7 linked regions of the Callithrix jacchus genome follow. The protein of the gene in region 7 purifies or fractionates together with the protein of the main gene of each other region. This does not show direct contact. Links are inferred from orthologs where the notes say so. Each region holds a gene or a part of one and is shown on either strand. Other genes may lie near its edges.

Evidence for each region.
Region 1: the proteins of HDAC6 (region 7) and DBT purify together in Homo sapiens (affinity purification with mass spectrometry; 3 studies listed by BioGRID and IntAct, with this or other methods). This does not show direct contact. The link is inferred for Callithrix jacchus from reciprocal best matches to the Homo sapiens genes HDAC6 and DBT.
Region 2: the proteins of HDAC6 (region 7) and TUBB purify together in Homo sapiens (affinity purification with mass spectrometry; 4 studies listed by BioGRID, with this or other methods). This does not show direct contact. The link is inferred for Callithrix jacchus from reciprocal best matches to the Homo sapiens genes HDAC6 and TUBB.
Region 3: the proteins of HDAC6 (region 7) and CCT5 purify together in Homo sapiens (affinity purification with mass spectrometry, with the first as the bait; 3 studies listed by BioGRID). This does not show direct contact. The link is inferred for Callithrix jacchus from reciprocal best matches to the Homo sapiens genes HDAC6 and CCT5.
Region 4: the proteins of HDAC6 (region 7) and PLAA purify together in Homo sapiens (affinity purification with mass spectrometry; 4 studies listed by BioGRID and IntAct, with this or other methods). This does not show direct contact. The link is inferred for Callithrix jacchus from reciprocal best matches to the Homo sapiens genes HDAC6 and PLAA.
Region 5: the proteins of HDAC6 (region 7) and DNAJA1 purify together in Homo sapiens (affinity purification with mass spectrometry; 4 studies listed by BioGRID and IntAct, with this or other methods). This does not show direct contact. The link is inferred for Callithrix jacchus from reciprocal best matches to the Homo sapiens genes HDAC6 and DNAJA1.
Region 6: the proteins of HDAC6 (region 7) and MYH10 purify together in Homo sapiens (affinity purification with mass spectrometry; 3 studies listed by BioGRID, with this or other methods). This does not show direct contact. The link is inferred for Callithrix jacchus from reciprocal best matches to the Homo sapiens genes HDAC6 and MYH10.

What each region holds. Positions count from the first base shown.
Region 1 is NC_133508.1:145,663,719-145,667,218, forward strand, and holds part of DBT (lipoamide acyltransferase component of branched-chain alpha-keto acid dehydrogenase complex, mitochondrial), read left to right. Parts: intron 1-2,393; coding exon 2,394-2,610; intron 2,611-3,409; coding exon 3,410-3,500. UniProt on the Homo sapiens protein: The branched-chain alpha-keto dehydrogenase complex catalyzes the overall conversion of alpha-keto acids to acyl-CoA and CO(2).
Region 2 is NC_133505.1:35,516,684-35,520,960, reverse strand, and holds the start of TUBB (tubulin beta chain), read right to left. Parts: upstream 2,801-4,277; 5' UTR 2,645-2,800; coding exon 2,588-2,644; intron 674-2,587; coding exon 565-673; intron 321-564; coding exon 210-320; intron 1-209. UniProt on the Homo sapiens protein: Tubulin is the major constituent of microtubules, a cylinder consisting of laterally associated linear protofilaments composed of alpha- and beta-tubulin heterodimers.
Region 3 is NC_133503.1:195,394,553-195,398,052, reverse strand, and holds part of CCT5 (T-complex protein 1 subunit epsilon), read left to right. Parts: intron 1-1,277; coding exon 1,278-1,470; intron 1,471-1,552; coding exon 1,553-1,702; intron 1,703-3,500. UniProt on the Homo sapiens protein: Component of the chaperonin-containing T-complex (TRiC), a molecular chaperone complex that assists the folding of actin, tubulin and other proteins upon ATP hydrolysis.
Region 4 is NC_133502.1:133,955,892-133,958,185, forward strand, and holds the end of PLAA (phospholipase A-2-activating protein), read right to left. Parts: intron 1,234-2,294; coding exon 668-1,233; 3' UTR 501-667; downstream 1-500. UniProt on the Homo sapiens protein: Plays a role in protein ubiquitination, sorting and degradation through its association with VCP. Involved in ubiquitin-mediated membrane proteins trafficking to late endosomes in an ESCRT-dependent manner, and hence plays a role in synaptic vesicle recycling.
Region 5 is NC_133502.1:140,228,480-140,231,175, forward strand, and holds part of DNAJA1 (dnaJ homolog subfamily A member 1), read left to right. Parts: intron 1-1,052; coding exon 1,053-1,168; intron 1,169-1,482; coding exon 1,483-1,583; intron 1,584-2,696.
Region 6 is NC_133506.1:75,147,190-75,151,394, reverse strand, and holds the start of MYH10 (myosin-10), read left to right. Parts: upstream 1-1,405; 5' UTR 1,406-1,541; coding exon 1,542-1,648; intron 1,649-1,842; exon of another isoform or gene 1,843-2,116; intron 2,117-2,118; exon of another isoform or gene 2,119-2,310; intron 2,311-2,405; exon of another isoform or gene 2,406-2,665; intron 2,666-4,205. UniProt on the Homo sapiens protein: Cellular myosin that appears to play a role in cytokinesis, cell shape, and specialized functions such as secretion and capping. Involved with LARP6 in the stabilization of type I collagen mRNAs for CO1A1 and CO1A2.
Region 7 is NC_133524.1:49,380,703-49,384,831, forward strand, and holds the start of HDAC6 (protein deacetylase HDAC6), read left to right. Parts: upstream 1-1,329; 5' UTR 1,330-1,348; coding exon 1,349-1,444; exon of another isoform or gene 1,445-2,058; intron 2,059-2,139; coding exon 2,140-2,262; intron 2,263-2,346; coding exon 2,347-2,475; intron 2,476-2,610; coding exon 2,611-2,699; intron 2,700-4,129.

The sequences.
Region 1 (3,500 bases), on a different chromosome or scaffold from region 7:
AGGGCTGATATCCAGAATTTACAAAGAACTCAAACAGATTTACAGGAAAAAAACAAACAAGCCAATTCAAAAGTGGGCAAAGGATTTGAACAGATACTTTACGAAAGAAGACATATATGAGGCCAACAATCATATGAAAAATTGCTCATCGTCACTGATCATCAGAGAGATGCAAATCAAAACCACATTGAGATACCATCTCACGCCAGTTAGAATGGCGATCATTAAAAAATCTGGAGACAACAGATGCTGGAGAGGATGTGGAGAAAAAGGAACACTTTTACACTGTTGGTGGGAGTGTAAATTAGTTCAACCATTGTGGAAGACGGTGTGGCGATTCCTTAGAAATAGAAATTCCATTTGACCCAGCAATCCCATTACTGGGTATATATCCAAAAGATTATAAATCCTTCTACTATAAGGACACATGTACACGAATGTTCATTGCAGCACTGTTTACAATAGCAAAGACCTGGAATCAACCCAAATGCCCATTGATAATAGACTGGATTGGAAAAATGTGGCACATATACACCATGGAATATTATGCAGCAATCAGAAATGATGAGTTTGTGTCGTTTGTAGGGACATGGATGAATCTGGAGAATATCATCCTCAGCAAACTGACACAAGAACAGAAAATGAAACACAGCATATTCTCACTCATAGGTGGGTGATGAAAAATGAGAACACATGGACACAGAAAGGGGAGTACTAAACACTGGGGTCTGTTGGGGGGAAAAGGGGAGGGCCAGTGGGAGGGGGAGGTGGGGAGGGATAGCCTGGGGAGAAAAGCCAAATGTGGGTGAAGGGGAGAAGAAAAGAAAGCACACTGCCATGTGTGTACCTACGCAACTGTCTTGCATGCTCTGCTCATGTACCCCAAAACCTATAATCCAATAAAAAATTTAAAAAAAAAAAAAAAAGTCGCTTGAACCTAGGAGACAGAGGTTGCAGTGAGCCGAGATGTGCCACTGCACTCCAGCCTGGCGCCTGGCGACAGAGCAAGACTCTGTCTCAAAAAAAAAAAAAATTCTGATACCTTAAGTCGCACACCCAGAAATTTTGATTTCATCAACAAACACTGTGGCTTGAGAATGGAAAGAGCTTTCAAATCTCTCCTCGATGATTCTGAGGTGCAGCCAAGATTGACCACCACTTAGCTGGAAGAATTTGAGGCTCTCACATTTCTCTGAAGTAGTATTTGCACTCAACCTGAAATTCTCTACGTGCTGGAATTCGCACCACTTCACCAGGCAGTTCCTTCTTTGACTGATGGTTCAAACTGTGAAACCTTATTTTTTCAACTGAACTGAAATTTTACTCCACACCAATTCTAACTTGCTGTCCCAGTTGCCTTGAGATCAAGTCATCCCAATCAATAAACTGTGCAGTTGATGAAAAAAAAAAAAAAAAAAAAAAAAAAAAAGATTTAGGTATATCAGAAATCATCCTTTTTCTTTCATTTTGCATATTTATGAATTGAGTTTGTTTAAAATTAAGAACCAGTGGCATTTACAGTTGCTTGTAACTGCCTAAAAATTATTTGTTTAAATTTTCAGAGTCCATTTGTTGCAAACTTAGCATTTGCCTTAGTGAAGTTCTTTATTATTTTAGATATCCTTAGAGATGCACTAATACAAATGAAGTGGGGCCGATCCCTAGGAAATTAATGCATGCTATGTATGGAGAGATCATTCCAAGCTTTTATGTTTATTTGTATTTAAATAGAATTAAGTGTTTCGTATTGATCTTTCCAAACCAACTACCAGAAAAATAACTAATTTGAGAGAGCTTTTGTATTGTGATTATTTAAGCTGTTACGTTTTTAACCATCAGAGACATTGGTTTTAACATCAGAGACATTGGTCTAATATTGTTACAGCCTTTAGTTTCTCCTTAAATTCTCAGTTCTCCCTCTTCTTATACAGTCCCTAGGAATAGAAATGTTTGAGTAAGAATTATGCAAGAGATTTTAAAATACTTGAGTATAAAAATATAAGTTTTCAGCTGGGCGTATTGGCTCACGCCTGTAATCCCAGCACTTTTTGGAGGCTGAGGTGGGAGAATGGCTTGAAGCTTGTTGTTCAAGACCAGCCAGGGCAACAGTGAGATTCTGTCTCTACAAAAAAAATTTTTTTAAGTAAGTTTTCATAAATAGCTCTAGATTATATATAATATGGGTATCTGATGGTTACCACATGTACATAAAACAGTGTATACAAAAGTAATAAATGAGTACTTAAGTAGAAAATGAAAAGGTTATTTCCGTTTACTAATTTGTTAGATATATATATATGCATATTATTTTCAGTTGATCAGATTCCATTTTGAAACTTTAATAATGTTTTTAAGTAGTTGTATTTTTGGCATTAAAATATATCATTTTTTAGATTAAGCTGAGTGAAGTTGTTGGCTCAGGAAAAGATGGCAGAATACTTAAAGAAGATATCCTCAACTATTTGGAAAAGCAGACAGGAGCTATATTACCTCCTTCACCGAAAGCTGAAATTATGCCACCTCCACCAAAGCCAAAAGACATGACTATTCCCATACCTGTATCAAAACCTCCGGTATTCACAGGCAAAGACAAAACAGAGCCCATAAAAGGTAATGATAATAATAATAATAATAAAGGGTAGTTATTTTGTTTTGGGGGAATCTATCTCAGTAGATAAATGTATATAATATGGTGTTTTGAAGACTTAAGGGAAAGTTCAACTTCAGTCAGTATATAATTTTTTAATAGTAAAATAATATAGTTTTTCCAGGAAACACTCCCAATGTATATGTACTGTTTTTCTGAAGGTAATACATTAGCAGGTTTCTTCGTATACTGACAGTTGCTGTTGGAAGACACATGCAGGATATTTTAAACATTCACTATTTGTAGTTAGCTTTCAAAACAACTAGTTTTAATTTATTTATAAACTCTTGGAATGATTAACTTCCAGAAGAGTGGCTTTGCAGGAAAGCTGTTAGGGAAATATATGGCTTGCATTCTTTTGCATTTTTTATATAACACAGCATTTAAAGCAGTTACCTGCTACATTATTGCATTTGCGACTGAGTGTCATGATGCAGTCAATGTTCCAGCTTTAAAATTAGTGACTTCCAATATAATGTAATGTAATGTAATGAAGAGAGTGTTGTGAGGAAAGGTTTAACTGAGAAAGGAAAGAACATTAGAGAACCTTCCATTTTAGCTTTTCTTTTGTTTTTCTTTCTTTTTTTTTTTTTTTGAGATTGAATCTGGCTTTGTCACCCAGGCTGGAGTGCAGTGGCGTGACCTCTGCTCACTGCAGTCTCTGCCTCCTGGGTTCAACGACTTTAGTTTCTTAAATAAAAAAAAATAATAATGACGGGATTTAAGAATTTAAATAAATGAATAACAATTGAATGCTTTCAGGATTTCAGAAAGCAATGGTCAAGACTATGTCTGCAGCCCTGAAGATCCCTCATTTTGGTTATTGTGATGAGGTTGACCTTACTGAACTGGT
Region 2 (4,277 bases), on a different chromosome or scaffold from region 7:
ATCTTCTTTCTCCTTCTCTGTGATGTATTCTCCCCCCACTGCCCCATAATTTACCAGCAATAGCAGTACTACCTCTACCCTCCATTACATTTCAGAACATAGTTCTGTATTAGCACGCCAGGGCATCATCTCCTAACTTCTGCTCTGTCTTTGGATCTAAGTAAGTTGAACACAATGGTGTATCATCTGCTAATATCTGTATAACTCACCAAAAACAAAGTTGTCTGGTCTAAAGATCTGGCCAAAAGGACCTGAGCGAACAGAGTCCATGGTCCCAGGTTCTAGATCCACCAGGATGGCACGAGGAACATATTTGCCACCTACAGAAAATAAAGTAAAAGCTGTGAGATCTGGCAGAGAAGGCTGGGAGACAGCGGGGACCCCAGACCTGTCATTCCAGGTGCTGCCACCAGGTGGCAGCAGACGTCTGGCCCTGACGGTGGCTCACCCAAGGCAAAGGATGACAGATCACCCAAAGAGTAAGGCGTGCCCAAGAATGTAGAGAGACCCAGAGAAGTGGGACACACGGAAGGGAACCCGAGCTGCCCGGGCTCCTGCCCTCACCTGTGGCTTCATTGTAGTACACGGAGATGCGGTCCAGCTGCAGGTCACTGTCCCCGTGGTAGGTGCCAGTGGGGTCGATGCCATGTTCATCACTGATCACCTCCCAGAACTGCCGGGTGAGAGCAAAAAGTACAACAGCTCAAGTCCCAGCCAACTATGTCGAAAGTACCATTTTATCTTTTATTTTTTTTTTGAGACGGAGTATTGCTCTGTCACACAGGCTGGAGCGCAGTGGCAAGATCTTGGCTCACTGCAACCTCTGCCTCCTGGGTTCAAGCGATTCTGCTGCCTCAGCCTCCCAAGTAGCTGAGACTACAGGCACAGGCCACCACGCCCAGTTAATTGTTGTATTTTTAGTTGGCCAGGATGGTCTTGATCTCTTGACCTCGTGATCCTTGGCCTCTCAAAGTGCTGAGATTACAGGCGTGAGCCACCGCACCCGGCCTCTTTTTATAATTTTTAAGGCAGGGTCTTCCTGTTGCCCAGCCTGAGCAGTGGCGCAATCACAGCTCCAATACTACCTGGAGCTGACAAGCTCAACCGATTCTCCTACCTCAGCCTCTGGAGTAGCTAGGACCCCAGACGCGCGCCACCGCGGTGCACAGTGAATTTTTTATTTTTTTTGTAGAGACGGGGTGGGGGGTGGGCGGTCCTCGCTTTGTTGCCAAGTATCCGCCCGCCTCGGCCCCACACCTCCTATTTTAATTCCATATGCCCTCAGGCCATTGTTCTACGGCCTGGCATCCCGTGTGCCTGCCACACCCTTCCCCTAGACACTCGCTCCCCCGGGAAGTCACAGCTTTCTCCGATTGGGGTGAGGTATGTGCAGCGATTCCTAAGCGCTCGGGTGGGCGGAAGGAGGTCGACCACAATAAGATAAGCGCCGCTCTCCTTCCACAGCGCGGGGCACCGCCCCACCGCGCCAAGCACAAAAGGCCGGGGACTGGGGGTCCGAGAAGTGAGTGGCTGCCGCAGTCGACCACCCCCCGCCCTCCATGTGACTGCAGCGCACGCGCAGGTCGAGCCGCCGACAAAAGGCTTCGCGCGTGGGCGGGGCCAGGGGCAAGAATTCCGCGCACGAGGGGCGGGGCCCAAGGTAGCGCGCCCCCGCCGGCGGGCAGGACCGCACTGTCCCCGCGCGCGCCTCGGCCCCGCCCCGCAGGGCCCCGCCCTTCTGCTACAACGTAGCAGCCGCACTTCCTCCCGCCCCTCCCCCGCTACACTGTAACCGCGCGCAAAAAAAAAAGAAAAAAAAATTCCCCTTGGCCTCGAATTTTATTCCTTCGCTAGATTTCCCCCCCTTGATTTAATGCATTCTTTCTCTCCCCTTAAGTCCTGAGGGACTTGGTAAAAAAAAGTCACACACCCCATTTTCTCCCCATATCCCTTCACGCCCTAAAATGATCTCTATTAGGGACCATGAAAGCAAGTAAAATTAATCCCGCTCTTATTCTCCTTCCACTCAGGGACGATCCGCTCTCCGGGGTCGCGGGCGCGCTGGGCTCCCTGGTCTTTTGTGAAGAGTAGCCCGCAGCACAGCCCACCCTGGCGCGTCGCCCCCCCACCCTTGCACTGGAGCTCTCCGCAGCAGCCCGACTGCCTCGCCCTTACCCGCTCGGGTTTGGCCCTTCGAACCCCGCAGGGGGGTTGGGCGGGATGCACATGGGCAAAACCTCGCCCCGCTTTGTCTTCGACCATTTCCGCATCTCTCTCCCTGCCCGGTTCTCGGACCGTTAGAAGCCCTTCTAAGTGAAAAGCTCACAGATCCTCCGTCTTCCCGCCCCCGAAACCCGAAGAGCCCTTTTGCTAGTTTCTCCAAAATGTGTCTGCCAAGAAAAATGATTCCCAGCTTTCCAAAAGCCAATGCTAGCTACAACTGTTATGTATATAAATGTTACAAACTTGGTTGGGAGAGGCAAGGCTTGATTAAGGATGAAGGGCGCAAATGCCCCACAACCATTTTTTCATAAATTACCTGGATTTTTCCTTCTAAAAAGAAATAAAAGAGGTGTAAAATTCTTACCTTGGCACCGATCTGGTTGCCACACTGACCGGCCTGGATGTGCACGATTTCCCTCATGGTTAAAATTTAATTTTTTTGCTCGCCTCAAGGTATGTACGGGGCAAAAAAAAATAGGTAATTATTTTTCTCTGCTGGTCGCAGGCTGCAAGGTTGGAATGCGCCCCAGAGCTGGAGTAGCGAGGTGCAAACGCGGCGGCAGGAAGGTTCTGAGAGGGAGAAAGGAGAGGGGAGGGCGCGGAGGAAAGGCAGGCTGGGCGGGGCGCGCGTGCGCCGGGGCTGGGAGGCGGGAGAATCGGCCCCTCGCGCGGTCGGAAGACAAAGCCTCATCGAGCCTGGCCCTGATTAGTCGATGTCGGTCATGTACCGGGCGTCCATTGGCCTCTGAGGCAGTGGACGACTGCAGTCCTCTCTGGGAGTTGTAGTCACCTATTGTTGTCCACGCTGCAAAATGAAGTGACGAATGGGTGGATACCGGTTTGGTTTTTGTGGGGTTTTCGTTTTGTAAATGAAAAACGACCTTGCGCAAGGTTCCTTTCCTCTGTGCCTGAGGTGTTTGTACAAAAAGTGATCAGTTCTCGGGGATACGGCAGTTCAGAAGTCTGGGGTTCCAGAAGTTGGGTGGTGCGATAGGCACGCCTTGAAAGCTCCCGGCTGCAGTATCTCTGGGGAAGACAGGATTGCTCAGCTCAGCGAAAACTGGGAGAAGTGTGGCACCGAGGTAGTCTGCTACCTCTGGCACTTGGTGACCCAAGGCCTGAACTTCAGTAAGCCTCTGCTCCCTCAAACACTTCAAGGAGGGAATTGCCCTCTTGCTGTTTCTTTGGGAATTTTCGAATCATTGTTTTGAAAGAGAAACAAAATTGCAGCAAGGGCTTTTCAAGATAGAGATATCTGGAGAGTATGTTCAAAGAATAAAATGAATGGTTTAGAGAAACCGATGTCGGGGATTTCTGAAGCCAGAAGTCTCCATCCACATAGGAAATCTGGACCTTAGGGCAGAATTTGAAGACACCTTGGTCTTGTCAGATAGGGAACTGTGTTATGAGATGCCTGATAGATTTTCAATTTTTTTCAGCCTACCTCTCTAGACACGTTGATGAAGTCAGTGGTTTTTCAATTCGCTGATTTCACTGACCAGGTGGCCGCCGTCTCTACAACTCTGCCAGAGATCCAGTATTGAAAAAGGAGAGGTGATGGATGGGGGGAAATTGGATGCGCCCAAGACAGAGTCCATCTGCTTCTTCCCAGAGATATATTCACTTATTTGATAGATACTATGTATCCACCAAATTAGGAACTAGGGATACGAAATGATTAAGAATTAGCTCCCTGTACTCCAGGATGTTGCAGGCTGCTGAGAAGCATACAGTCAATAAAATGTCGTAAGCACTCAGAAATGTGGTATCAAGTCAAAGTCATTGTTAATTCACATTCGATGACACACAGATACATGTATTTCTAAGTTGCCTTCTAAATAAGGGAACATCAACTTGTATAAGCCCCTCTCTACCCACGTAAAATATAACTTATGTTTTAGGGAAGTAACAGTTATTTTGTGGAAGTAGAAATAACCCAAAATACAGAATTCGATAACCTGTTTCAATTTGTCTCTAGGACAAATTAAAGGAACCTAGGGAAGTCCTTTAACTTTGCAGGGATTCAACTCCTCATTTGTAAAATCTGCTTATTT
Region 3 (3,500 bases), on a different chromosome or scaffold from region 7:
TATTCAGCAAATTGCTGATCCAAAATTATAACTTAGTAAGGAGAAACAGTCTTGAAACTGACTTGTCTCTGGTGTTTTCAACATTTGCATAATACCTGTTCGCCAAGCTGGCTGCCTGGTCTTAATGGGCATAAAGACACAGCTCTTTCCCCCAGGAAACTCTAAGCAACCTCAGCCAAGGGGTGCACTGATTATGAACAATGATAAAGACTTAAGGTCTGTTGCCATAATATAACATAAAAATTCAGTGTAAGTTACTTAATTACAATTACTTTATATCAATGAAAGATGTTTTCAAGTGTGTGCTTGTGGTGGTTTTAGCAAAAAGGAAGGAGGGGTCTTCTCAACTCGGTAGTTGGGGAAAATGCAGGAAATGTGTCGGCCTCCGTTGCCTTTTCCCCTGAGGAAAGCCTCTGTTAGGGCAGAAGCCTTCAACGGTGCCTGCTGTGCTCTAACCACAGGTCGTAGCAGAGACTAGCTCTCTAGGCAAGAGGAACTACCGTAGGGGTAGCCTCGGTCACAAGTATAACACTATTTTCTCAAGAGAAGGACATCATCATTACTTGACGTGTACATCTCTGTTTTATTGTTGCTTTAAAGTTGGCCCTGTTCTGTTTGCAAGTATTAACTCAGTCTACTTAAGATACAACATTTTTACTTTCATGATTCTGTTTTATAGATAATCTAAGATTTCAGACATTTCAAGTGCTAGGTTTCCCTAGTTGTTTTTCTTGGCTCAAAAATGAATTTAAGGAGCAATCTATTCAAATGTTTCAAAGCTTTCAAAAAGGCAGCATCCTCTGGGTAACTCATGTTGTGGGAATTTCACTTCCCATTAAGTGCTGCACTTCATTTAGATAAGATTGACTTTTCCCCGAGTTATTACTTATCTTTCTCATTCTGTTCTGAACTTGTAAAATTGTAACGTATTCTGTAAAAGTGGTGCATTCTAAGACGACCTTAGTTCATGCCAGACTACAGTGGTTTCTTGAGTACATTTATAATGGAAGGAAATAGTAAATTCCAGAGTTAACAAAAATAAAGGATGTAATTATTTTCCCATCTAAGTGCACAGTCCCCTTTGCGGTCCATGGGTCAGTCACAGGTTAAGAATCTCTGCCCCAGCCTGTTGAAAATGCAGGCGGAGACGACATTCCCTTCTAGAAGATTCAGAACATCATTTGATTTATATCTTTGAGTAACATTGTATCATGTGGCCTGCTTTGGTTGCGGTAATTGTGAAACCAGTGAAGTTTGTTTTGTGGTGATTTCATCAGGGTCAACAGTTGTCACCGACAAATGGCGGAGATCGCTGTGAATGCCGTCCTCACTGTAGCAGACATGGAGCGCAGAGATGTGGACTTTGAGCTTATCAAAGTAGAAGGCAAAGTGGGTGGCAGGCTGGAGGACACTAAGCTGATTAAGGGCGTGATCGTAGACAAGGATTTCAGTCACCCGCAGATGCCGAAAGTAAGCCGTTGGGTTTCAGAGTTTCACACTGTTGGTTAACTCATAATTTCACCAATTAAAATGTCCTTATGTTTCCCCATAGAAAGTGGAAGATGCTAAGATTGCAATTCTCACATGTCCATTCGAACCACCCAAACCAAAAACGAAGCATAAGCTGGATGTGACCTCTGTAGAAGATTATAAAGCCCTTCAGAAATATGAAAAGGAGAAATTTGAAGAGATGATTCAACAGGTAAGTGTTACCGGAGTCCTCAGTGGAATTTAAACTCCCAGAGGATACAGTTAGTTAGGTGTGGTTCGTAAATACGCGTAGTCTTCAGTTCTAAAACATACACAAGAACAAACCAGATGGCATAGAAAGGTACAAACAGAGAAGAATTCTAATTTTGTCTTAAAATGGTAGCGTGTTCAAGGCCCTGAAAGAAGTGATCCTGTTACCTAAAGCCATGCTCTCGATTGTACGTTATTACACTTGCTCTCCTGGACAAGTGTGACGTAGCCTACCTTCCCTTTAAGATTTCTGACTATACCTTTTAGGCAAGAGTTAATGAGTAACTGGAATTAAACCAGAATGCACTTATAGGAATCCCGTTCTTCACTCAGATAAATCTAGTTTGGGTTCACGAATACCTTAGCATAGGTGTGCTTGCTCTCTGATGTAGCAGCTCTTCTTTGGGGACTCTGTCGTTGGGAGCTGAAAACACAGGTACTCAAGAATACAGGAGCATGGGTTGGTTAGAGCATTATTTACCATAGCAAACCAACTAGAGGCTATTTTCATGTCTGTTCTTGGGAGAGTCATTGTATTTATCTGCTCATTCATGATGTGGTTTTTTGTGCCTTCAACATATCAAGCTCTGTTGTAGGCACTAAAGGTTCAGCAGTGAATGAAGCCAAGCTTGTGCTCTTGAGGCACAGATAAGGGAAAGGTGGGTACAGCTCTGTTACAGATGCTGCTCAGAGACATGACCTGTAGGGAGAAGCTAACATTGAGTGAAGCAGCACCCCCAGGGGAGAACATTTCAGGCTAAGTACAGATGGGGATGCTCTTGAGGCAGGAACGTGGTTGGCTGGTAGAAGGAACAGCCAGCCTCAGGGACTAGAGCATGCTGGCAGGAGCTTGTACATACAAGTCCATTATCTGGGCAGGTGGGCCCGTCGGCATGAAAATTGTGGCTCATCTGCACCAGGGGGTCAGAGATATACTGAGAGGCCGGGAATGTTACTGGATCACACTGGTGGGGCGCAGGTTGCTGAGAATGAGAAAGGAATGGTGCTGGGGCTAGATGCTAAAATGTTAATGAGAGGCAGGGACTCGAGAACATTGAAGGTGCCTGAGGAGTAAGAAGGAGCCCTCTCCTGTTTTGAGCACGTGAGAGGGAAAGCAGCTGCCATCTGAGGATGGTTGCAGGGCAGGTTGGTTTTCAGGGGTTGTGACAGAAGCATTGTATAAGGAGGCTGCTCTCCTGGACTGAGCTCCAGAGGATCAGGGAAGGAAGAAAGGGAGAGCTAGGCCGTAGCGGATGGTCTGGGAGGCCTGAAGGAGACAGGTAAGCGGGAGTTGTGGGGCACGGTGCAGCCATCTTAGGTAAGCACCAGCGGTGGGGTGGGCAACCTGATGGCTGCCTTCCTGATTGGGAAAAGTCACTTTGCCATTTGCAGGTTGGGGTGACAGTGCTTCTTACTGGAAGCAGAGTTGCTTCTGTGGGCCCCTGAATTAGTTGGTATTTATGAATCCAACTGAAGATTGTCCACTCAGACAAGTTGCAAGTGGTTCATAACATTGTTTAAAACATACTCAGATGAAAGTTCTCCACAGGTGTTTGTGACAGGGCAGAGCCTTTTCCCCATGGTTGGGAGAGGGTATTAGCTTTGTTTGTTGACAAGTCTGTTGGTTTTTTGCGTCACTGTAACAATAGGGTTCAGTATGAATTACTGATTGTGGTTTTTAAAGCATAGTTTTAAAAATGAGGTGATCGCCGTTGATAATACATTTAGAATTTGGAACTGACAGAAAGAGGACACTTGTC
Region 4 (2,294 bases), on a different chromosome or scaffold from region 7:
CAGACCCAAGCCTGGAGTTAAATTGAGACCTTGTCTGTCTGAACTGATACATGCCTAACATAGCTTACCAACTGGCTTTTTCTTCATCTAAAAATAAGCCATCAAACAAATATACTTTAGGATTTATAAATGACAAATCAAGAATTTATCTTATTTTGTTTTAATATATGAATAATTTATATATTATTTTATAAATTTAATATAACTTAAAAAATTTTAGTAGTTAACCTAAAACAAGACCTTGAAATGTATCAGTGCTGTTCGAAGAATCTAGCAATGAAAATAGGTAGAGAAGTTAAATAAAAGATTATTGACAACAACAGTTTGGTGTATTTAAGTAATAAAAGCAAGTCATATGAATAAAAGCCCTTGTCTCCTCCTCAGTGGCTAAGGCAAGGGGAAAATGTCATTGTCATTGTGTTGCTGCTGATTATAGCTCCTTTTAAATTTGTTTTCATACTATTGAAAACTTACCCACATTACACAGGAAAATCTCACAATTCAGCAGTGCAAAAATTTTATTTGTTTCCCCTCCCCACCACTTTACACATCTAAAATTTTACTTAATCCAAAGTATTCTTTTCTTAATCATCTGGTATCAGTCATGTCAAATGTGAGGAAATAAAAACACTAATCAATTACAAATTTCAGTCCCCCTTCCCCATCGCTACAGCAAATTTAGGATAAATCTACAGCATTCACTTACTTTTGCTGGTTCTGATACTGAGGAATACTTTTTTATTTGAGAATCAACACCTAAAGACTTGGCTAATTGTACAGCATTTGAATCATCACTGATAAGTGTTCCAAGAGCCACAAGAAGTCTAAAAGTGGCTTCTAGGTCTTGTACTACTTCCAAAATTGTGCTAATTAGTGACAAACATTGAGCTTTCCCTTCAATGTTATGGTCTTTATGAAAACAAACAGAATAGTTCAGGGTCAATGTAGCCAGAGCAATGTGAATGTTCTTATTGCTCCCTGATTTCAGTTTTATTGCATGGGACATCAGTGATTCCCTCTGGGACATCATGAGGTTTTGTCCTGCCTGGCCAATAAAACAATTGCAAAAAGTCCTGAGAGCAAGCAGCTGGTTTGCTGGCTTTCCTTTAGGGTTCAGAAGATTGATGAGATGACTGCTGAACTGAGCTCCTTCTTTTTCACTGCAGAAGTTCTCATTCACGCTGGGGTGTTTAATTGACAACCGAAGAATGTCAAGTGCAGGAAAGACAATATCTATTTTAAAAAAATGTCATTAATGTTTATGGAAATAAAGACCGTTTCTTTTGACTATCAACTTTTAAGGATTTTTTTACCACTACAAAATTAACCATTTTCGAAAATGTGAAAAATTATGTGTATGCTTTAAAAAATGAAAAATATATATATATATTTTTTTGAGACGGAGTCTCGCAATGTTGCCCAGGCTGGAGTGCAATTGCACGATCTCAGCTCACTGCAACCTCCGCCTCCTGGATACACACAATTCTCCTGCCTCAGCCTCCCAAGTAGCTGAGATTGCAGACACAGACCACCACACATGGATAATTTTTTGAATATTTAGTAGAGACAGAGTTTCACTATGTTAGCCAGACTGGTCTTGAACTCCTGACCTCAAGTGATCCGCTTGCCTTGGCCTCCCAAAGTGCTGGTATTACAGGTGTGAGCCACTGCGCCTGGCCAACTTCTCAGATTTATATAAGCTAGATTTATTACTGTAAGATCATATTCACTTTAAAAATAAGGTAACTCTCTCGGGTTATCAAATAGCCTGACACACTGAGTATTCAAAAATGAATGGAAGGCCAGGCACGGTGGCTCATGCCTATAATCCCAGCACTTTGGGAGGCTGAGGTGGGTGGATCACGAGGTCAAGAGATCGAGACCATCCTGGTCAACATGCTAAAAACCCCGTCTCTACTAAAAATACAAAAAATTAGCTGGGCATGATGGCGCGTGCCTGTAATCCCAGCAACTCAGGAGGCTGAGGCAGGAGAATTGCCTGAACCCAGGACGCAGAGGTTGCAGTGAGCCGAGATCGTGCCATTGCACTCCAGCCTGGGTAACAAGAGCGAAAGAAAGTCCATCTCAAAAAAAAAAAAAGAATGGAAAGAATGGAGTGCAGACCTTGCTTTTTAAAATTCTGTAAGACCAAACAGTTAAACAGAGAGTTGGTTTTTTTTTCTAATTATACTTTAAGATCTGGGGTACATGTACAGAACATGCAGGATTGTTACATAGATATACATGGCGGTTTGCTGCATCAATCACCCCATCATATACATTAGATATTTCTC
Region 5 (2,696 bases), on a different chromosome or scaffold from region 7:
AGCCAGGCGTGATGGTGGGCACCTATAATCCCAGCTACTTGGGAGGTTGAGGCAGGAGAATCACTTGAACCAGGGAGGCAGAGGTTGTAGTAAGTCCAGATTGCACCATTGCACCCCCAGCCTGGGCAACAAGAGTGAAACTTAGTCTCAAAAAAACAAAGTATTTCACAAATGTCTGAAGATAATGGAAAGGGTTGTCAAGCTTAGGATTTTGATGTTGTCATTTGAGAAGAGTATTAAAGATTAAAGATATTTTATTAATGTGGGCTGGAAAAGAGGAAAGTCTAAGCATGAGGAGGAAGTGGGCTGTTAAATATGAAAGGCTGTATTCACTCACAGTGTGCCAGGAACTGTATTTCAGGTACATCAATGAGGAAATTCTTAAAGTCAATTAAAAATAAATTGGTCATATAACCCCCTTATTTAATTTCATGGAGTCTAAATTATCTAGGACCCTGCCCAGGCTGGAGTGCAGTGGCACAATCTCAGCTCACTGCAAGCTCCGCCTCCAGGTTCAAGTGATTCTCCTGCCTCAGCCTCCTGAGTAGCTGGGATCACAGGTGTGTGCCACCACACATGGCTAATTTTTTTTGTATTTTTAGTAGAAAGGGGTTTCAACATGTCGACCAGGCTGGTCTTGAACTCCCAACCTTAGGTGATTGACTCGCCTCAGCCTCCCAAAGTGCTGAGATGACAGGTGTGAACTACACCGCCCAACCTAAGCCTCACTCTTGTGAGTTTTGTTATTTTTTTCCCTCTGAGAAACTAGATTAAAAATTAGGTAATGAAACAATTCAGGGATGGTAAATGGTAAAGGCTGCCTAGAGTGTGTGGAATGACTTTGAATCCTTATCTAGGAAACAGGGCTGGCAAGTTCTACATGTGTGCTATTCCCATATCTCTGCTCTGTTTGATTTTTACAATGGGGGAAGAAAAGAGAATCTTTACAAAAGACACCCTTGCTTTTATTAAACCAATAAACAATAGCCTGCTTTGGTACATCTACTGATTGGTGATTTGAAAAATGTAAATATGTGTCATATTTTATGCAGACGAGGAGAAGACCTTTTCATGTGTATGGACATACAGCTGGTTGAAGCACTGTGTGGCTTCCAAAAGCCGATATCTACTCTTGACAACCGAACCATAGTCATCACCTCTCATCCAGGTATGGTAACTAGGCAAGCTTAAGCTTCTCTTTTCTATTCTAGTATTTTCCTTGTCTCCTGATAACACAGTAGAGGGAAACGCATTGTTTTTCTTCCTTGGTTACGTACCATTTCCTGGGCTGAGATGAAGTTATAAGGTCTTGGCTCTCTTGTCTGCCCTTAAAAAACCCATACATGAAAAGTAACAGGATTGTTTTGCCACCTAAGTTTTACTTCTGCCAGTGAGCTAGGACAATGCTCTCTGTTCTTTATTTTCTCTGCTTCATAAAAATGTGACCATACTTAAAGAAGAACTTGGCTTCAATGTTTTTAGGTCAGATTGTCAAGCATGGAGATATCAAGTGTGTACTAAATGAAGGCATGCCAATTTATCGTAGACCATATGAAAAGGGTCGCCTAATCATTGAATTTAAGGTAAGCTGTAAAGTACTTTATATTTGAGAAGAACAACTGGCTTACTAAACTCTGATTTTTAAAATAAAAAATGTAAAAATTTCAGCCAGGTATGGTAGCTCATGCCTGTAATCCCTGCATTTTGGGAGGCTGAGGCAGGAGGATATCTTGAGCCTGGGAGCTTGAGAACAGCCTGGGCAACCCGGCCTTAGAAAAGATAGTGAAACCCTGTCTTTTTTAAAAAAAAAAAAAAAAAGAGAGAGAATTAAAATTTCTGAATGCCAAGCAATCTGAAGTTTATATTTTTCCTTACCCAGCAATTAATACACTGATCTGGTTACATGCCTCTGGCACACGCCTATGATCCCAGTGCTTTGGGAGGCCTAGACAGTTGGTTCACTTGAGCTCAAGAGTTCAAGACCAGCCTGGGCAACATGGCAAAACTCCATCTCGACAAAAAGTACAAAACTTAGCCTGGTACGGTGACATGCACCTGTAGTGCAATTGTTCTTCTCAAGGTTGAGGTGGGAGGATTGCTTGAGCCTAGGAGGTCAAGGCTGCAGTGAACCAAGATTGTATCACTGTACTTCAACCTGGGTGGCAAAATGAGACCCTATCTCGAAACAATTTTATCTAATACTACTAATGTTGAGTGAGCATTCTTTGTTAACCAGGTTGAGGATGGGGTATTTGCATCATTAATTGGATACTTAAAGACAGATTGTGGGAAGGGTGTGCTGGACAAGTGGCTATTTTACTAATTATAAGTTGTAACTGTTAAAGTTTAGAGGCACTTTATAATTGCAGATTTCATGGCAAAATAGTGTAATGCTTGATTTGTTAATAGGTATAAAGCAATCCAGTCAATTTCAGTCTTAAATTGGCCTCTCATCACAAAAGATATTAATTAAAACATCTTTTTTTCCCCATTATTGAGAGGGAGTTTTGCTCTATCGCCCAGGCTGGAGTGCAGTGGTAAGATACTGGATCACTGCAATCTCCGTCTTCTGGGTTCAAGCAATTCTGCCTCAGCCTCCTGAGTAGCTGGGATTACAGGCACCTGCCACCACACCTGCTGGTGTTTTTAGTAGATGGGTTTCATTTTTGAGTTTTTAGTAGACAGGTTTCACCATG
Region 6 (4,205 bases), on a different chromosome or scaffold from region 7:
AGGCTTAGGCAAACACATCATTATCACACGTACTAAAATGCACCCATAGCCTATATTAATAACGGATTAATAACTGCATCTTGCTGTACATTTTTATGATCTTGATTTTCAGGTTATGGATGAACAAATAATTCATTTTGTCCATGTGATTGACTTTATTATTTTTATATATAATTATGTAAGAGTTATGTTGCCCTTGTCTAGGTTCTGCAGACATTTCATTAAATTTTGTTCACTTTGATTTTTCCAGTTTCCTTTCCTTATTTTGGGGCTACCGTCTCTCAAGTCTCAAATGTTTTCATGGGCCCAAGAGGATATGACAGCGCTGCAAGAATCCAGCTTTACATTCCTAAGAACCTGTCACAGCCCCTCTCACGTAGGGAGCTCTGATTAACGAATGCAGGAGCAAAGGAACGAGTGAATGAATATGAATAAAGTTTCTTCCAAATCTTCTCTCCAAGGTCGGTTCTCCTCATTCTTTTGGAATCTCAGCCTTGCCTGGAGATTGGGCAGGAGAGCCTCTCGCCCCACTAACACCAAAACTGCGGCCTTGGAGGACAGTATCCGGTGCCCGGCCGACCCTGCAGAGTCAGCCCGGGGCCCGGGTCGGGACAAGTGGCCGCAGCGGTGCGCGGCCAGAGCCCGGGCAAGGCCTGTGCGCATGGGCGGAGCGGTGCCCTCCCCCGCGTTCCCTTCCCCTCTGCAGGTGAGTCGCAGCGACGCGGCCCCCACCCCGCGCAGCCCTGGGGGTGACGTCAGGCCTCTGTACCGCGCTCCGCCCCGCCCCTGCAGGCAGCGCAGGGGGCCCACGATTCCACGGTGGAACCCCGTCCTGTTGCGGTAGATGCCAGACGCCGCAAGCAAAGGCGGCGACAGGGCGCTGGAGTGTGCTGCGAAGGCTGCCCGACGCTAGAACGAGGAGCGTGCAGTCAGAGCGCGGAGCTCCTGCTGCGGACCACCTGCCCTGCGGTTCGCACAGCGGTGTCAGCGCAGCGCGCCTACAGCCGCAGGGTCCGCACCCGCCGCCTCCGGGGATCGCCGGGCGCCCAGCCAGCCTCAGCTGTCCATCTACGCACGAGCCAGCCAATCGCGCGCCACTGCCCCGGCCGCACCTCCCGGAGCCTATGACGGGCGTAAGAGCCAGCCTATGAGATTGGGGCCTTTGTGGACAGGACTAGGAGCGGGAGCCAATGAGCATCATTCCAGGTGGGTGGAGGGAGCCTGGCTCGGGAAGGTAGCTTCGTTCGGGTTGCTAACGTCTTCCCTTGGAGATGGGCGCGCAAACCGACCAGTGGGTCTGGGGGCGGCGGTGATGGGCGTGGAGCTGGCCCAATGAGGGTGGGGGTGGGTGGGGCAGCCTCGAGCCGCAGTGCTAAAGGAGCCCGGCGGAGGCAGCGGTGGGTTTGGGACTGAGGTGCTGGATCAGTGGTCGCTGCTGGGGACGTGCGCCGGCGCCACCATCTTCGGCTGAAGGTGAGAGGTGCGGCTGCCCGAGTCCGAGTGCACCGCCCAGGGTGCGGGGACAGTTTGTGGAGGGAGTAATGGATCCCGGGCTGAAGGGCCCGGGCGGTTCTGGAGGGCAGGAACGAGGCCGAAGCGGTAGCTGGGGAAGACAGAGGGACTTCTCAGCTGTAGGATTTGTGCTGCGGTAACCTTAATTTCGTTTGAGCAGGGTCCTGGGGGGGGGGCAGTGGGACCCCAGTGGGTGGAGATGGAGAGACTCCTGGAGGGGCGGGGAATGAGGTCCTTGTGAGACCCCTACTGGGATCAGGGCCTGGGTGTGCGGGAGGGCGACCCCTGGGGGGCTGGGGATGGAGATCTTGGGGTGGGGACGTGAGGACCAGGTCTTTGGTGTGTGGAATCCCTAGGGGCGCGAAGTCGGGGAGCTAGTGTCCCGGCGGAGGTCTCGACGTGCCCTGCGAGCCAGTGTCTGCTTCCCAGGAGGGGAGGGGATTCTAGTGGGGCTGGAAAGCGCAGTCCGGGCGGTGGGGTCGTGCTGGACAGGAAGGACCCCTGAGTGGGTTGCTGGGTGGGTTAGACCCGGCGGGACCGGGCCCCCCTGAGCGCCAGAGGGGTTCACCGAGGGCTTGGAAGGCGGGCGGCGCGCGCCAGACCGGTAGGTGGAGGCACCGGAGGGCATAAGCTCTGCACGGCCGGGGGAGCGCGCGGCGGGTGAGGGGCTCCGGAGCCGGCCGCGGGCCTGGGGAGGGTCGGACTCCGCAGACGCGGGGGAAGGAGCACGGGATGGGGGCGTCCTGACGCGCCCTCGGTGGAGCGCCTAGTCAGGGGGTGGACGCCCGGCGAGGCCCGGTCGGTTTGGAGCGGGGGCGAGGCGGGAAATGTGGCGGGGCGCGCTGCAGCAGGACGGCCGGGGGGAGGGTCAGTCCTTGCCTCGGGATTCCTTTATTGTGTAAGCGAGCTGGGCATGGCTCGCCGCAGTCTCTTCATTGCCTTCTGCAGTTGGGGGTCACACCCTGATCCCATAAAATCGGACTGGAATTGGGTCGGAGGGAAGTGGAAGCCGCAGAGTCCTGGCATTTGCGGGGTCTTTGTGGGCCTGTGGTGGGCGGATGCGGCCCTGGGACGCTGGAGGCCCCCAGCCAGGCCTGCTTGGAACTAGGGCCTTAGGAAGGAGGTTGGCGACTCGGCGGGCAGACCCGAGCTGGTGAGGTTTGGGTAACGTGGCCTCTGCCGCCAGCCGTTATCTCTGTTTCTTAGGGCCTCTGCAGCTCCCTTCAAGATCACTGCGGTGGATGGAAGGGGGGGGGTGGTGGGCTGGGGTGGGGTAGGGGAAAGCAGGCGGGGTAGATGCAGACTGCAGATGAAACAAAGACTGCTGTTTTCGCTGAATAATGTAATACCAAACATAATACTTTGGCTTTGCTGAGATTTTGTTTTTTAACGTTGAAACTGAGGATTCTTTGAGTCAGGTTTAATTATTCTTGATGGTATCTCACTCTGGAAAACTTTATAATCTTTTTATTGTTTTATCTCCTTCATCAATCTGCCTTTATTAATTCTTCTTTGAGTCCCTTGCTTTTGATGTTTAATTATGCCCAGTCTGTCTCGGGTTCTGGAAAAGTGGCCATTTTATGCATCTCCCTACTTCTGCATCTTAAATTGAGTTCTTCCCCGTCCTTATCTGGAGAAAGCATATGGTATAATTGTACGATATAGCAAGAGCTTTGGCAGCAGAAGGATGTGACCCCTGAGAGCCTGGCTTTTCATTTGGGCTCCTTAGGGAAATTATTACAATGAAGGCAGCCGGGATGGAAGGTGAGATGGAGGAAATTTTGAAGGGCACGTTGTAGGGTGGAAGACTATATGCTTCAGTGGTTTATGTACTTTATCACATGAGGAATTAAAAGTTCCTGGCATAGGATTCTAGTTTTGGAAATATTTAACACAGTATAGAGATATTAATTGGGAGACGGGGCAGGCCATGAGTAGCAATAGTGGCCTTTTGCGTTTGGTTTGTGTTTGTGATCATTGGGTTAAGCAGAATTTTGATAAATTAGCAGACTTGTCCTGCCCTGTAATATAAGTGACCTCGTGGTAGCAGTACACAAATTGGGACAGTTTTGTTTTAGCTCATCTGTTATAGATGGATGCTCTGTCATGGCTAATTTATCCATCCTTCTTGTTTGCCTTTCTATATGCAGGCTGTTCATAAAATTGAATTGTTTGCCTCTGTCCACACTTACAGTAGGGGCTGGGAGGGGGCTGAAAAGTTTGCTGGGTGGCATTTCATTGGAAGTGAAAAATGACCTGGGGGTGGAGCCTCAGGGGTGTGTGTTTCAAACCACTGAGGGATGAGAACTTCGGCTCTGTAGGGGGCTAATTCATACACAGATAGATGATTTCATTATAATTGGGCAGCAATTTCAGATGACACCAGTGTCCCTCTGACTATCTTTATGTCTGCTAACAAAAATATTCCTGTTTATTGTTATTTCCCCTAAGTTATGGGTATCTTTTTCTGTAAAATATAAAACCTTTGCCAGATTATTCATTGGCTAAACCATAATTGATTGGGTTTTTATTTAGTAGAAAGGTAGTATATAGCATTGTACACTACATGCCCTTCAAAATTTCCTCCATGTCACCTTCCATCATTGTAGCATGTACTCTGGAGCTGAACTCTGAATTTAATCCCAGCTCTGCTCCTTATTAGCTGTGTGCCCTTGGGCTGGTGATTGGCTTTC
Region 7 (4,129 bases):
CCTTGACCCTTTGCAAGACTCCCTACTCTATTATGTTCCAGGTACCACAACTCTAGAATTTGTGTGTGTGTATCATTGTATGTGTTTTCTTTGGTGAGTGTAGGAGTTTAAGTCTTAGGTCTGCAACTCTTTTGCGCTGAGACAAAAGAGGTTCAGGTAGGAGGAATGAAAAGGGAAGAGGCAGCAGGAATTGGCATCTTCAAAAGGATCAGAGGGCACAGCTACTGGGCGGTGAGACCGTCAATCTGTCAGTCTGCGACGCTGAACCCCCGGACTGCGAACTGCTTATCTCTCCGTTTCCAGCTTATAGACCGGTAGGAAATGGTGGAGAATGAGAGAGGGAGATTAGGAGGACAAACCGGCCTCCTGCAGAGCTGACATTTAGACCCAGAGTGGGAGTTGCGGGGAAGGGGGTTCCCAAGGACAGCTCCCCCGACTCCCCGGGCACACAGACACTTTCTATTACTCCTTGGGAGCAGAGGTTACCCGTCGGAGGGGGCAGATAGGGAGAGCTGCTGCCCATGAGTAACTCCCCTCTTCGAGTCCATTCTGGCCCTGGGTACTATTATTATCACAACTTTCCAGATAAGGACACGGAGCACAGAGCTGTTCAGTAACTTGCCCAAGGTCACATGGTTAAGTCCCGTAACCTCAGTTTCCTTATCTGCAAAGCAGCCTTAATAATGGGAACTACCTCATAGAATTGTGGTTTACAACGATGCCTGTCACACACTTGCTATCATTACCATTCCCTGCCCCCACTAAGACTCCTTTCACCCAGAATATTGCGGCAAAATATTAATAGCTAACATTCGGCTAGTGCTTCCTGTGTACCACCGTACTGAATACTAACTCGAAAAATCCTCACAACATTTAGCATCGTCACCACGCCTATTTTGGCCGCCACCAGCCAACGTCCAGTGGCAACCCCGCTCTCGGCCCATCCACAACTAGCCCGCCCGCGCTACGTCATCACGGCGCGTCGCGCAGGAAGTCCCGAGGAAGAGGGAAGAAGCCCTTCCTAATTCCCACGCTTCCTTGCTTGCTCTCGCGACACCGCTGGCCTGGAGGGCTCCTAAGTGACTGGACGGGGACAGAGGGGCGGCGGCTATGGCATACAGGATGACAGCGATGGTAATCGAGGGAGTGGAGAGCTTGCGCCGCAGCCCGGTCGCGAATCAACGGCGCGCGCCTTTTACGTAGGCACAGTACAGTGACGTAGCACGCCGACGCACCATCCCGCCTTCTGTGAGATCGCGAGAGGTGTGGCTCGCGCGAGGGGCGCGGCCTTGAGGCACGTTCCCTTCCGAAGGCGGGATCTGGGCGGGCAGTCGAGAGACCAGGCCCAATGGAAAAGAAAGGCCCGGACACTCGCGTCCCCACGGGTCGCCAGGAACTTGGCGGAGCGAGCCAAGGGCGGAGTTTGAGAAAGGGGTTGCGCCCGGTGAGTGGAGCGGCGAGGACTGGCCGCGTCGACAGCGGAGGCGGGAAGGGGGTGGAGGCCGACTGAAGGCGCTCAGGACTGGCTGAAGGGGCTTAGCGAAACGTTAGCGGTCCGGTCCGGGCAGGGGGTGGAGCTGGTGAAGGAACGGGGCAGTCCCCTAAGGAGCGGGGCTGGTTGAAACGCTAGGGGCGGGATCTGGCAGAGTGGAAGGTACCGGTCCGGCCCGATAAGGGGTGGAGTTAAGTGAATCGTTAAGGGTGGAGTTGAGGCCGGGGCCGGGGCCGGGGCGGGCTGAGTGAAAGGGTGGGTGATTATCCTGGGAGATAGGCCGAAAGGGCAGGTACGTGAAGGAATGGGGTCCGGGCCGGGCTTAGAGGGTCTGGGAAGGGCTTGGGAGAGTGGAAGGGGTGGTGATTGGTTGGAAAGGGTGGGCCCTAAAAGGGATTGAGTGAGCCAGGGGGCTCATTGCTCAGTGAAAGGGCAAGACCGGAGAAAGAATCATGTAAAGGGGTGGAGTCTAGCGGACCGGGCGGGTCCAGGTAGCATGGCCACCTGAGTGGAGGGAGAAGGCCTGAGAGAGGCGGAGTTTGGAAGGCTGTGGAGAAAAAGATCGCGTAAGGAATGGAATCTAATAGAGGGGGCGGAGTCCTCTGGGCACACTTGCCCCTTCACACACCCACGCCTCCCCCCCCCAGAACCGAGACAGGGGCAAAGCCTCCTCAGCTATGACCTCAACCGGCCAGGATTCCACCACAACCAGGCAGCGAAGAAGTAGGCAGAACCCCCAGTCGTCTCCTCAGGACTCCAGTGTCACATCGGTGAGGCCCTAGACCCGCCCTGAGGAGGGGAGAGGGAGCAAGCTGGCCATGCCCTGGACTCTGACCCTTCTCTCTGATTCGCAGAAGCGAAACATTAAAAAGGGAGCCGTTCCCCGCTCCATCCCCAATCTAGCGGAGGTAAAGAAGAAAGGCAAAATGAAGAAGCTCGGCCAAGCAATCGAAGAAGACCTAATCGTGGGACTGCAGGGGATGGTGAGCAGGGCCTGGCTGCAATTTAGCCTCGTATGACAATCAAAACCCAAAGGTTCCCCACCGTGGACAGTTTAGGATGTTCCTTCTGACTCAAGGCCTAAAATGGATCTGTGTCTCCTTTTTTTTCCTCTGCAGGATCTGAACCTTGAGGCTGAAGCACTGGCTGGCACTGGCTTGGTGTTGGATGAGCAGCTAAACGAATTCCATTGCCTCTGGGATGACAGGTGAGGCTGGATCTTCCAGGCTGTCTCCAAATCACAAAAATACATACACTTAGAGCCCATTAGCAAGAACAAATCCTTTCTTACCCCAGCCTGGATACTGGAAGCAGGTGATTTGGGGAGGTAGGGCTCACACTTGAAAGGGTTTTTCTATGTAGCAAACAAACATTTATTGAGTGCCTACTGTGTGCCAAGAGTTAGTGATACAAATGTACCAAACAACAGACAGGGTCCCTTCTCTGGGAACTGATTGGGTGAGTAGGAGGGCAGAGTCTTAAACAGTCAACAGCAGTATGAGGTATTTAATGAAGACAAATTTAAGACCAGAGGGATTCAAGGGTGTGTAATAGAGGATCCTAGACTAGTATCCGGGCTTCCCAGGAGCCTTTCTAGAGGAAAAGACCTCCCATTTGCTTTACTTTTCAAAAAGAATCATCAAATCTTTTTGGCTATATGTTAAATTATATTCACCATTTGACCTCAACTCACCACCTCCACTGCCACGATCATCATCACTCACCTAGACTTCCAGAAGCCTCCTCCCTGGTCCCCTGCTTCCAGCCTTGCCTTATTGTCTGTTCACAAAGCAACGTAAAAAAAATATGTGTGAAATGATGTTGTCTTTGTTTAAATACTTTAAGGAGGCCGGGTGTGGTGGCTCACACCTGTAATCCCACCACTTTGGGAGGCCAAGGCAGATGGATTGCCTGCGTTGTCAGGAGTTTAATACCAGTCTGACCAACATGGTGAAATGTCGTCTCTACTAAAAATACAAAAATTAGCTGTGTGTAGTGGCACACACCTGTAGTCCCAGCTACTAGGGAGGGTGAGGCAGGAGATTCGCTTGAACCCAGGAGGCGGAGGTTGCATGAGCAGAAATCACGCTATTGCACTCCAGCCTGGGGCAACAAGAGCAAAACTCTGTCTCAAAAAAAAACTTTAAGGGCAAACTGTTACCCTCAAGGTAAAGTCCATATTCTTCATCCTGGCCTCAAAGGTTCCACATGATCTGGCTCCACCTCACTTTGTGACTTCATCAGCCAATCCTCCTCACCGACACTTGTCCCCTTATTCTTCCAATATGCCAGGCACCCTCTTGTCTCTAGTCTGTACCCTGGCCAACCCCTTTCCCAGAGACTCCTTTCTATCTTCTTCTCTTCCAGTTACCTTTCACATCCCAATGAGACTTTCTCAAAGAGGATTTTGCCTGGCCAAACCCTACCCCAATACCTGATCTTATTTTCCTAGCCCATGGCATTGTGTGCTAATTGTCATACTTGTGTGTTGACCAATTGATATCTATATCCCTTATTCCAACCTAAGACTAACTTATTATGGCAAAAGACTTCTTTTATGGAATACCTATTTAATGTCTATTGAGGAGCAGGGGATACAGCAGTAAACAAAAGAAACAAAAGCCCATGCTTTCAGGG